Linked DNA regions of Mus musculus: regions 1 and 3 are each reported to be linked to region 2. The links are microRNA targets in miRTarBase. Many come from high-throughput screens and were not tested one by one. Region 2 holds a microRNA gene; each other region holds the end of a gene's coding sequence.
Evidence for each region. The annotated mature microRNA mmu-miR-669n reads AUUUGUGUGUGGAUGUGUGU and lies in region 2 at 2,425-2,444, opposite strand. An mRNA with a match to its seed (bases 2 to 7 or 8) in the 3' UTR can be bound and repressed. Matches are read on the target gene's strand: a 7mer-m8 pairs with bases 2 to 8, a 7mer-A1 pairs with bases 2 to 7 and ends in A, and an 8mer does both.

Region 1: the mRNA of Gcm1 is a reported target of mmu-miR-669n. Seed matches in the 3' UTR shown: 7mer-A1 at 705-711.
Region 3: the mRNA of Txndc9 is a reported target of mmu-miR-669n. Seed matches in the 3' UTR shown: 7mer-A1 at 2,920-2,926 and 7mer-m8 at 2,784-2,790.

The regions. Positions count from the first base shown.
Region 1 is chr9:78,064,729-78,068,973 of GRCm38, forward strand. Gcm1 (glial cells missing homolog 1) reads left to right here. Exons shown (of 6, transcript NM_008103.3): 6 at 1-896. The coding sequence ends at 361. It also overlaps the pseudogene Gm8058. Among named protein-coding and RNA genes, the nearest start is that of Gcm1, 15 kb to the left of the region's middle.
Region 2 is chr3:115,978,104-115,982,348 of GRCm38, reverse strand. It overlaps Mir669n (microRNA 669n), which reads right to left and starts at 2,447; the gene lies at 2,394-2,447. Slc30a7 (solute carrier family 30 (zinc transporter), member 7) reads left to right here. Exons shown (of 11, transcript NM_023214.7): 7 at 537-587; 8 at 3,570-3,705.
Region 3 is chr1:37,983,950-37,988,194 of GRCm38, forward strand. It overlaps Txndc9 (thioredoxin domain containing 9), which reads right to left. Exons shown (of 5, transcript NM_172054.4): 5 at 1-3,830. The coding sequence ends at 3,713. Among named protein-coding and RNA genes, the nearest start is that of Txndc9, 11 kb to the right of the region's middle.

The DNA.
Region 1 (4,245 bases), not on the chromosome of region 2:
TCTGCCTGTGGCCAGCTGGCCCTACGACTACTTTCCCTCCCAGAACTCTTTGGAGCACTTACCCCAGCAAGTTCCATCAGAACCCCCTGCAGCTCAACCAGGCTGTCATCCCTTGTGGTCCAATCCGGGAGGTGAGCCTTACGAAGAGAAAGTATCTGTGGATCTGAGCAGCTATGTGCCCTCCCTCACGTACCACCCACCTCAGCAGGATCCCTTCCTGCTCACCTATGGCTCTCCTACTCAGCAGCAACATGCACTGCCCGGCAAGAGCAACAGGTGGGATTTTGACGAAGAGATGGCATGCATGGGCTTAGATCACTTCAACAATGAGATGCTCCTAAACTTCTGTTCTTTAAGATAACTCAAAGCTCCCCTTCTCTCTCCCAGTCGTGATTTGTTAAAGGGCTTGGCAGAATTTTCTTAGAAGACGGGTTTCAAAGCATAGCCTGAGAGGAATGTTGGAATCAATTGTGACAAGCAGTAGACAAGGTCTTCTCACTCAAGCTGTTGACAATGCCAGTGTGTTTACCCTCCATAAGGAATAGAAAGTCACCGTGCCAGGTGTAATGTCACAAGTCTCTAATCCCGGCACTCAGGAGACAGAGGCAGTTGGATATTTGTGAGTTCAAGGCCAGCCGAGTTTACATACTGAGTTCCAGGAGAGCCAGGACTATGTAGAGAGACCCTGTCTCAACACCTCCCCCCACAAAAGAAGAAGAAGAAGAAGAAGAAGAAGAAGAAGAAGAAGAAGAAGAAGAAGAAGAAGAAGAGGAAGAGGAAGAGGAAGAGGAAGAGGAAGAGGAAGAGGAAGAGGAAGAGGAAGAGGAAGAGGAAGAGGAAGAGGAAGAGGAGGAGAAGGAGGAGGAGGAGGAAAAGGAGGAGGAGGAGAAAGAAGAGAAAGAAAGGAAAAGGAAAAAAGTTTGTTTGTTTGTTTGTTTGTTTTTTAAAAAGCACTTGGTTTTGGGGCAAAATGTTCTCTGATGCCTCTGACCAAGATTCCTCTGATCTGACCCCTCAGCAGGGCGGTCTGAAGGGGCCTTATTGTGGCTTATGCATGTAAACTTAGCATTTCATCTATGCCTTTTGGGAGCTGAAAATGAAGGAACAGAAAGAAGACTGAAGAGCTGTGGACGTGTGAAGTTGAATACTTTACCAAAGAAGTGTTTAAAATTTTGTTTAGTTTTTGGTTTTTTTGTTTTTTTAAGATGGGTTTTCTAGATTTGTGACTTGTTAAAAACAAGAGGCTCAACCTCATCCTATTTATAAAGAACAGAAAACAAACGGACATAGGAAAAGAGTGGGATCCACCTCTCCTTTTTCTCCTAAGTGACTTCTCCTTCCACAAGGGCTAAGATGCTGTTCTATTCATTGTTATCTCTCCATGTCATGCTCATCTATGAGGAATTCTTGTTTAAGAGTCTTTGTGATGGGTTGGGGGCAGAGCTCAATGGCTGAGAGTATTGCTTAGGATGTAGAGGTTCAATCCTCAGTAACAATTTCAATAGCAAAGCTTTGTTGGGCATAGCAGTGCACACCTGTAATCCCAGAACTCAGGAGGTGGAGGCAGTAAGTTTGATCGTAAGTTTGAGGGCAGCCCAGGTGACATAGTGAGACCCTCTCTCAAACAAACTTAAAATATTCTTTGTGGCCCCTAAGAGGCATGGCTGCACGGTGGAACATAAACTCAGCCTGTGGTGCTGAGCTGGACTTTCGCCTCAGTACCAAAAACCCAAACAGCTAAATAAGGAGCGTCTGTTCCTTAGCTAGCTACTCAGTGCCTATTCTCTGCTGAAGTTCTTTGCAGCAAAGTAGTCCAGCACAAAATCTGGAATGAACCTTGCCATAAGCAAGTGTTTTCAAAATAATCTTTGCCATTTGATTCTAAACTAATGTGTATGATTCAAAAAATAGATGATGTCTCTTGTTGCTCTGCCCCTCTGCAATGCCTAAGCGTCCTTGTCTACTCTACAGATTGATAACATTTTCTAGAGATATATATTGTTATACATAAGATATTAAATATATTGTTTTCTATGTGTATTATGTCTGTGTGTGGTTTTATATCTGGTACTGTATCTAACTTGGCTTTTGCCATTTTAGGTTACAATCAAACACTGGACCCTTATAAGCATATGGAAGCTGAGTGGTTTCATTTCCAATGGCACATAGTGATTAGTATTATAATTAGATAGCCCCCATTCATAGGCATTCACATTGTTTGAATCTAGTAAAAGTTTTGTTGTAAATGCAGAAAAAAAAATGGATACTTAATTTAGTAGAGTTACGCTGCAAATGCTTGTATATGCACAGGCAGGCCGGAATCTAGAACTCCTTCCAAAGCTCCCGTGACTGCAGGCCCAATCCCACTCCACCCCAAGGCCCTTCCTTCTCAAAACTGATCTCTAGGCTGGCTCTTGGTATCTTTGCTAAGTTTACGTGTGCTTCCACACAACAGCTCAGTTTTGTCTTTTGGAGGGAACTAACAAACCATTTGATGCATGTTCAAGGGTTGTGAAGGAAGCCAGTGAGATGGATACTTGCCACCAGGCCTGATGACTTCAGTTCCATCCTTGGAACCCACATGACAGAGAGAGAATTAACTCTATCATGTTATCCTCTGGCCTCTACACACTCAGGCTTGGGTGCATAAACACACACAATAGATGTGAAAAGAAATTGTTGAAATCTAGCAGCCGTAAAGAAGAACTCAAGAATCATAGTGCATAGCTCAGCAAATGAAATAGCCCAGTCTGTCTGCCATGTTGCTGGTGTACATTCTTTGGGGGAAACAACATACTTTTCAGATTTGACACGGTTTGTTTGACATCTACAGATGCTTACAAACAATGTCCTTCCCTCGGGGCCTTACTGAAAATCACCTAGACTGTGGGATGGAACTATGGGTTTGGTGGAGTTTCTGACACCTAGAAGGTTCTAATTGCATTGAATGGAAAATAAGAAGAACCAATAGCTGCTAGTTAATTTCTATTGGTTTTGGATTCTTTTAGGATTTCAAACCTTTTTCTCTACTAGACTGAAGCACCCCTTCATTTCAAACATTTTGCTTAAAAACAAACAAACAAACATAATCTTGGGGCTGGAGAAATGGCTTGGTGGTTAAGAGTACCGGCTGCTCTTCCAGAGGTCCTCAGTTCAATTCCTGGCATCCACAGGGTGGCTCACAGCCAACTGTCGTAGGATCTGATACACTCTTCTGGTGTGTCAGAAGACAGCAACAGGGGGCTGGTGAGATGGCTCAGTGGGTAAGAGCACCCGACTGCTCTTCCGAAGGTCCAGAGTTCAAATCCCAGAAACCACATGGTGACTCACAACCATCCGTAACAAGATCTGACTCCCTCTTCTGGTGTGTCTGAAGACAGCTACAGTGTACTTACATATAATAATAAATAAATCTTTAAAAAAAAAAAAAAGAAGACAGCAACAGTGTACTCATATGAGTAAAATAAATATTTAAAAAAAGCCATAATCTTGATATTTATCAAAGCAAAAACATGATTGACTACCATCTTTACTACTAAGTCTGATTCCCAACCTTCCAAAAGGCTTCTACTTCTAAACACTCATATATTTCTCACAATTAGTTCTAGATTTCCAAATAATAAGATCACACGTCTGTGTTTTCATTTTATATGTTTGTGATATTCTGACCACAGATTAAGATCTAAGATTTACATAATGGTACCAGTCCCATCTTCATCATCTTAACTGTATAGTTTAATGGATTTTTATCCATAGTCTACTTGATCATTTTGTGTAATGAAACTCAACCAAAATCAAAATATAGAAAACTGCCATTTCCCTAAAAATTTCTGCTGGCATGGGATTACAGAAGAGGTGGAGAGATGCCCAGCAGTTAAGAGTATATACTGTTCTTACAGAGGACCCAAGTTTAATTCCCAGCACCCACATCAGGTGGTTTGCAACCCATATATCTCTAGTTCTAGGGGATCTTACACACTCTTCTGGTCTATACCACACTCACATGCACACAGACATGAACATAATTTTAAAATCCTCTTAAAAAGCTGTTAGGGTCTCTATTCCTGCAGTGATAGCCTTGCCTCTTAGACATGATGGTGAAGGTCGGAATGAATGGACGTGAAGGCCATTCCCATCTTCCAGGAGTGAGATCCCGAGAGTGTCAAATCAGGTGATGCTGTTTGAGTATGTTGTAGAGTCTGCTAGTGTCTTCACTGACATGGAGAAGGCTGGGTGGGGCCAAAA
Region 2 (4,245 bases):
GCTCAGGCCGACTCCCCTTTACACCTCTTACTGTCCTTGTCCCACAAAACTAAGGATGTCCCTTCATCATAAAAGGCAGGATTTTAGTGAAGTGGCTGTCTTCTCTGTAGAAAGTAGTCTCTAAAAGCTGTAGTTCCACAGCAACCTGCTGTCAGTCCCGGCTTCCGTTCACAGACCTCATCAAAGTCCACGTAGTAATTTCATTCTCTGTGAGGTTTCCAGTTATGAAAGTACTAGGAGGTATTTCGTTAGTACAATATTGGTAGATTTTTCACATTTTTAACTTCTTGTGAGTTTTATTTCTAGTACAATAATTTCTAGAATATTCTATATCCTTGTTACATTTCAATATTGCCCTCACTAAGTTCACCTATATTTAATTACTTGATTAAATTTAAAAAAATAATTGTGTAAGTCTAATATGACTGTGTGCTCATAGTTCCATCATACAGTTGAGCAAAAAGAACTCTGAGTTGCAAACATTTGGATCAGGAATTGAAGAGATGTTTTAAAATAATCTAACTAATTCTCTACAGATGGCCCATCCTTCAAAGCAACGGCAGGACCCAGCAGACAGATTTTACAAGGTATGACAAGCAGTTGTGGCTTTCTTAATTTCATGAAGCTGGCTTCATGGTAAAGTTGCCTGGAGTTCTCTTTTAAGGAAATATCTGTAGATGGTAACAGTATTGTAAGTGTTATCCTTCCTAATAAATGCGTGCGCGCACATACACTCACTCACACATGCACACTTATACTTTGTGTTAGGTATATTAGCGATATTTTGCCACTTGTCTATTTTCTCAGATTTAATTTTAAAAATACAAGAAATTGACAACCCCGGCTGAAGGTAAGTACTGGCCTGACTATCGTGAGTCCAAGGTAGCGTGTTCGCTTCCCTGGATTATTACAGTCATGAGTTCAGGGTAGCCTGTCTGCTTCCCTGGATTATTACAGTCGTGAGTTCAGGGTAGCCTGTCTGCTTCCTTAGATTATGACAGTTTTTCCAAGAGTAACGTTCAATATGTTCTTAAATTGTAGAGCTAAGAATGAAGTCCAGTGAGACCTTTCTCATCTGTGAAAGCATCAATTACTGATACCTAAACAGGAGCTTAGTGTTCCGTAAGTGACAGCAGCTAGAGAAAACTCTGTCTCTGAACTCTGGTACTTTCCTCTGGGTTATAACCCAGTCTTTCACAGTTTCCCCTAGACTGTATTGTCAAAGCTTTTAAGTTCTAACCTCCCTGCTCCTAGCTTTTTAAAGCCGACGTTGGTCTGGTTTTCTCAGTGGCTCCAGATCTAGCCTCTCCTGCATGTGTTTTGTTCTACTGCTTCTGGGTTGAGTTCTTGCTTCTTGTGTTTCTCCATTACTGAAGAGATCACTATACTGAAGGCTTAGGCTGCCTTCTGTCACCAGGTTTCCATTTTCAAAATATATGGCATTGCTTTTAAAAGCGTCTTTGTACATTTTTGACATAGCCGTATGAAGTGCTATCATTGGCTTTGATAATAATTTGTATTTAGTTATGAAAAATCATCATAAATGGCAGGAAGAAAAGCTCGATGTACCCTTTTATTCCTATTTCTGAACTACATGAGTTTGTTGGTCTCAAGAGGGCCTGGAGGAAGCTGCTGGGCAGCTGTGACTGCCTGATGTAAAAGCTCTGCTACCCAAGAGCTCTTCGGACACTCAGCACATGAGCCCCTCCAGCTAATGTGGCTTTCAGTTGTTGGCGCATCTTCAGCTTAGTGAGCCAGGTTTTAGATACGTTAGACCATTGGTGTGTTGCAATGTTGGAGGGTCTCGATCTTATGTGACTTAAACAGACTTTATGTATTTCCTCAGAGATTTTTCTTCATGAATAGTTACTATAAAAGAGTAATGATGTGTGCTAATGAGACCCACTTTCTGGTTAGGATTACATGGAGGCAGGGACTTTCCAGCATCAGAAAAATGAATAACAGATTATTTTCACCATTTTTTTTTCATTTTTATTTCTGTTCGTACCAAAACACTAATTGGAGAATATAGAAACTTAAAACTATGTTATTACATTTAGGAGTTTGTAATGTAGGGATTTCAATTGTATTGATTTATATCCATCTTTTTCATTTTTTTTTAGTTTTTGAAACCAAAGTGTTTTTGATACATATATATGTATATATATATATTATTCTTTGGTATTTAAAGTACAATAGAGAAGTTGGTTATTTACAAGTATTTACCAGTGGAAATACACATTTCATTTTTATCTGCCCAAATGAATACCATTTGTTACAGAACAACTCAGGGCTGGTGAGGTACCTGTATAAGGACACATGCAGCCAAACCTGACAGCCTGGGTTCAGTCTTCAGGCTCCACGTGGTAGAAGGAGTAAGCCAATGCCCTCTGCACATGTGCTGTGGGATGCACATACATTTACACACACATCCACACACAAATGTAAAGATCTGCAGAGTGGTCTGCACAGAGTGAAAGGCCCGAGTGCCCTTTGCTGCGCCCTGCTCTAAGTCACACGGTGGCAGGGGAAGTGTCTTTTCCCAGCAAACGTTAAGATTTACTGTGACTCAGTAGTGCTCAAATTTTAAGCTGCTACAAAGTTTCCTTCAGTTTTAATTGGCACACATTTACCTTTGATCGTTCAGGGAATGTGACGTGAATTTCTAAGCTGGTCGCATGTCTGCCATCTTAACCAGTGCCCTGCAGGGCAGCTGTGCTGAAGGCCGGTGGTTTATGGCTTTTCTTTGTTTTTGTTTTTATTGGTACCTATGTTTATAGATTGCTTTGCTGTGTGATAAATTTTATTTATTAAAGATCTACATATTGAGTGAGTTACTGTCTTAGGTAGTTTCAAAAAGAGTTGCATATATAATTTCTTTCTTGAGATTTTTATGGTTTTCCAGGCCAATATCACTTATGAATCTTAATAGTCCTATATAGTCCTTAATAGTCTACTATGTCCTACTTAGTACTTAATTTCAAAGGTTCAACATGTATTTTCTTGTCCTAGTCAGGTAACTGCTTTTTTGCTTGGTGTATTTGAGGATAATAACAAATTTAGGTAGTGGCATGTTTTGGATAATTAATGTCAGGTTAAGTCGAGTTAGGGTTCATATAAAATTTTATTCCTTAAGCAGTATTTTAAATCACCAGCAGAGGGCTCTATGTGTTCATGTATTCAAAATTAAATTGCTTTCTTCATCTTTTTTTTTTAAAACCTGATGCTCTTTTCTTTCCAGAACAAATTATTTAACCTTTTTTAAAGTAAGAGTGAATGTTCACAGACAGCATTTAAAACTAATTTTCTCTACTCCTTCACTTTCTTTTTCTTTTTTTTTAACTCCTTCACTTTCACTGTTCTGTTAAGATTGAGCATAATTTACCAGTTAGATGTTTAAACTGGTCAGTATGAAAACAGTTATGTCAGTTTATAAATATTCTGCTACACAGTTACTACTGTACTTCTCCTGACTGATTTTTTTTCCTTGATATGTAAGATATTTTAAGTATAGTCCTGAGAAATATTCCCACTTGAGTATTCTAATCTCTCCTATGCTTTCTTTCTAGGTGTATTTTTACACATTCTAGCCGATACACTGGGAAGTATTGGTGTAATTGCCTCTGCCATCATGATGCAAAATTTTGGGTTGATGATAGCAGATCCTATCTGTTCGATTCTTATAGCCATTCTTATAGTTGTAAGGTAAGTGGTTCAGACTGCTACCATCTGTTACTAAGTGAGAGGGAGGTGACAACAGAACCAGTGGCTGGGCACCTTCAGTGCAGATTATCATGTGGGGTTCCCTTTGCTCTTTAAAACAAGTCCTATCCAAGTTCTCCTTATAGCTTTTCCCATTTATATCTTGCCTGGAGTTTTAACATTTCTTTTTGATTTTTGACATTTAAGTAGTTGATCATAATTCAAATCTTAAACCATACACTGTATGTATAGAATAAAATCTTGGCAATGTAAAGTCATTAACTAGACGATTTTAGTTTATATCTAGAACTGACAATGTCAAACCCTGGTATCAGTGTTGCCCCTGCCAGACCCATCTTTAATTCTGCCATTTCATTGGTCTTTTCGCTTGCTCACCAGCCACGGAGCTGGTGGTCTATGAAGACTGTAGGGAGGTCCATCTGCAACGACCACTTGCTGCAGTGCATTGTGTAGTTAATATTATCTTCTAAAATCCTTTGTCCTAAAACACACTTTATTGTTGGCTTCATTTTTATTTTAAAA
Region 3 (4,245 bases), not on the chromosome of region 2:
CATCCCTTGGAACTAGAGTTATAGGTGGCGGTTGTGAGCCACCTGATGTGGGTGCTGGGAGCCAGAGCAGAGTCCTTTGCAAGAGCTCTGAGCACTCTTAACCACTGAGCCATTTCCTCAGGCCCATGGGGCATAACATTGATTGATTGATTGACTTTATTTTTGCTTAAACCTCCCTTTCCTCAGGCAAAACCAACTGCGCTATGACATTTGATCTTAGTATCTCTTCAATATGATTTTGTATGCATTTTATGGAGAACGTTTCTATGTACATCAAGTGAAGTGACCTGTAACTTCTTTTGTTGTTGTGTTCTTAACCAGTTTTGGTATCGGGGCCTTGGGGGATTAAGGAAACTTGTGTGTATGCATGTTCTTCTGTGTGGACATGGTGAGTATGTGCCTGGAGTATAGAGGACAACCATTGGGTTTTGGCCTTTCCTTTTCTACCTTGTGTGAGGAAGGGGTTCTTCACCAGTGTGTGCAAGCTAGCTGGAAGAGTCCTCTGTCTGCTTCTGATCCTAGGGGTACACTGAGATTACTGATCAGTGCAGAAGGTCAGGGCATCAGACTCAGGTTGTCAGGCATGGCAACATGCAGCTTTACCCACTGGGCCAACCTTGATGACCTGAGTTCAACCCTTAGAACTCACAGAGTGGGGGGGGGTTGGAGAGATGGCTGAGTGGTTAAGCATACTGACTGCTCTTTCAGAGGTCCTGACTTCAATTCCTAGCAACCGCATAGTGGCTCACAACCATCTGTAATGGGTGCCCTCTTCTGGGTGTATCTGAAGAGAGCAACAGTGTACTTGTATACATTAAAAAAGAACTCACATAGTGGAGTTGTCTTCTGACCTCTACACATGCACACATGTGTATATACACACATGTACACAAACATAAAAACTGTTAATTCTACGCTGCTTCCTTTTCTGCTGACATAAATCTTCCACCTTTTAAAAATAATGAATATAAAGTTACATTCTTGATAATCATATTATTTTGCTTGCACCCACACCCCATACATCTGTTGTTTCTCTGATAAAATTGGCACATCTTTGGTTTGGTTCTCTCCTGGTTTTACTTGCAAATCTTAGTAAGCAACTCGCTCTTGGGGCTCAGTCCCTACTACTGCCCTGTACTGAGAAAGGGAGCTACTGTAGTGGCAACAGCCACAGATAGAAATACACCTAAAATAAAGTCCATTAGTACACCACCCGTGACCATCAAACAGAGAACGGGAGCATGTACTATAGAATTTTATAAATTAAGAATTATTTAGGGTCAATGTAGCATTAGCAAATGAATGAGATAAAAAAGAAGGGAAATAGAGAAATAATAGTAAATGAACCAAAAGTTAAAGAGAAGTGGTAGAGAAGAATGTCGTGGAAGGGAAAAGAGAGAGTAGAATAGAAAAAATACATAAAAATACATAATAAAAATTCCAGATTTTTAAATAATTAAATTAAAACTCAAAATTAGATAAATGTTAAGAAGGGGAGTTCAGCACTGCCTTTTAGTTCACAAGTTCCGGAGGCAGATCTCTAGTTCAAGGCCAGCCTGGCCTACAGAGGGCAATGTAGAAAGTCCCCGTCCCAACCTTCCCCCTCAAGTAAAGAACAAAATAGAAACATGAGATTTTTAAAACAAAAAAGTAAAGACTATCCCCAGTAAGACAAAGTTAAATACTGCTGAAAGTCTAGTTGAGAGGAACAAAAGAAAAAAATACCGCCAGATAGTGGAAAAAAATGCATAACCAAAATGAAGTATTTCATGATGAGATGAGTAACACCAGGATAAAAGAATCGCTATGAGTTGAACAAAAGTTAAATACAAGGGTAGGCCAGAAGGTCAAAGAAAGAAGGGCAAGGGGAGTCTCAGGGGCTGATGTGATGGTGAAGGCTGTTGAACCAGGGCTCTTTTCTAAGGTTAAGCCCTGTTTGGCAAGTGTCAGATTCCCACAGGACCTGGCTCCACTTGAATAGCTTCCCACCTTTATGTAGTAGCGTCCTCTACTGGCCGCACTTAGCTCTGCAGCCTATGGGCTTTCATTCTTGGACTGGATCCCCAGAAGTGGCTGATAGGCTGCTGTGGTGGTCTCCCAAGTGCACTGGGAGTGTGGGAGCAACCGAGACATCACATTGTCTCTGCTTTTGTCTTGCTGGAAGAATGTAGCTATGGGAGCTTGCCTGCTGGTGCTGCAGTCTTCAGGATCTGTGGCCGTACCGCTACCTAGATAACATCACCAGCCGGTCCACCCGATGACCTCAGGAGTAGGGCTACAGGCACGTTTATTCTTGATGTAATCTGGTCCTGGCATCCAGGGCAGGGTTTTTCCCTGTGCACTGTACTGCCCTAACTTGTCTCTTGCACGTAGCCCTCCCACTCTCCATAACCATCTCCTAGGTTGTCTGTTGGATGGCTGTTCTCCATTCTCAGACTCCAAGTGTGGCTCAGTTCCCTCTCAAGGTGGTGCCTGGATCCTGCCTTCTCAGTCGCAGTAACACAAATGGGATTCCTCTCTACTGCAAACTCGTCTGGAGGAAACAGCCTCGTCAAAGCCCACATCTGGTGGGCTTCTTGGAAGGTGGGTGTGTCAATTCACCAGAACAGCCTGGCTTACCTGAAGGAACCCCTCACCACTGAGCACTGCTGTGCTTGGTGGCCTTGGAGGTCAGAAGGCATCAGAGTCCTAGAATGGGAGCTAGTGGATGGCTGTGTGCCACCATGTAGGTGCCAGGAAGCCATCTCAAGTGCTCTTAACTGCCGAGCCTTCTCTCCAGCCCCTTTGTGTTGTTTTAGACTGCTCTCAAACCCCAAGACCCCTGTAGTTCAACTCATTTGTATTTCCTGTATTGTGTATGTTAAACGACATCTTGCAGGAATCTTTTCTTTCCTTCCACCAGTGGGCCCAGTCCCCAAGTTTTGTGGTAAGTGCCTTTCTCCATTGAGCCATCTCAGTAGTTGATGCTATACTCTTTTCTTACCAAGGCTTATTTATTTCTGGGCATCAGATTATTTCTGTTCATGCTAAGCACATGGCCTATATTTTTTTTAAAATGTTTTTGTTTGCTATATGATCTCATAGTTTCCAGACTCACACTTTTAGAAATTTCACCTTTGCTAAAGTTGTTTTACTGAGCAGCCAATGGAGTTCCTTATGTTACCACTCAAAAACGGTTTAATTATATTTTTGCAGGTCTCATAATGTGCGTGTGCAATGAGGACTATTTAAATAAGGCGATGTGCTCACACCCTGGGTTTCCTGCCGCTATCATCAGCAGAGTCACCATGAGTGAGTCTTTAACAGTTCCTGAAACCCATTCCACGAAGCGGATCACGGACAAGGAAGTGCATGTGGTGCCCAGTGGATGGTCACTCATTGGCTCTTACAATAGTGGGCAAATTCCTATCTCTAACTCAGGAGATTAAAAACAGACATGTGAATGGTTTGAAGATAGAAGAATCACGTTATGATAAAATCAATCACAAAAATAGAGAATTCAGACCCTCCCAGGTAATTTAAAGTATGTTTCTCTCAAGTTATACACAATGACTGCAGACAAAATGGTCAAACAGTGTACAGGCTGGGATAAGAGTGTCAGATGGTCAATGGGCCGAAATCAGTGGAATTTAGGAATTTAGAAAACACACTTAACTCTGAAGTAGACAGACAGACAGACAGACAGACGGAAGGTTTTAAAGTACAGCACAGTCTAGTCATCATCAGAATCGGAATCGTATTTCTTTCCTCGGATAGTTTTCTTTTCCAGCTTTGTAAAGTTTGTCCCAAATTTCTTTTGGCTCTGAAATGGTGGCTCCATTAAATTTCCACTAAAAGTAAAACAAAGGTTAAGAGCATTTTATTCTTTATGATTTAATATACCCAGGATGCTAGACTATAAAAAGCATAATATTAAGTTACCAGTTTCATATACTATCTGTGTTAGATCAACGTTTGAGTTTCTTGGTTATCATGATCATTATTATAAGTATCTTTGTGGTGATGGAGATGACACCCCGGCCCTCTGCATGCTGGGGCAGAGAGAAAAGCAAGTCTTGGGCGCACTGACCCTGTGCTGAATCCATGCCAATGACAGGCAACACTGTGTGTTTGAGTTCCGACTGAACTCACGACTCTTCCTGTGTGGCACCTCACTGTTTACATTTCTACACACATTGACAGACTCATGGGATGAACTATTATCAGCCTGGAATCAGCATAAATCAATGATGCTAGAGAAGTAAG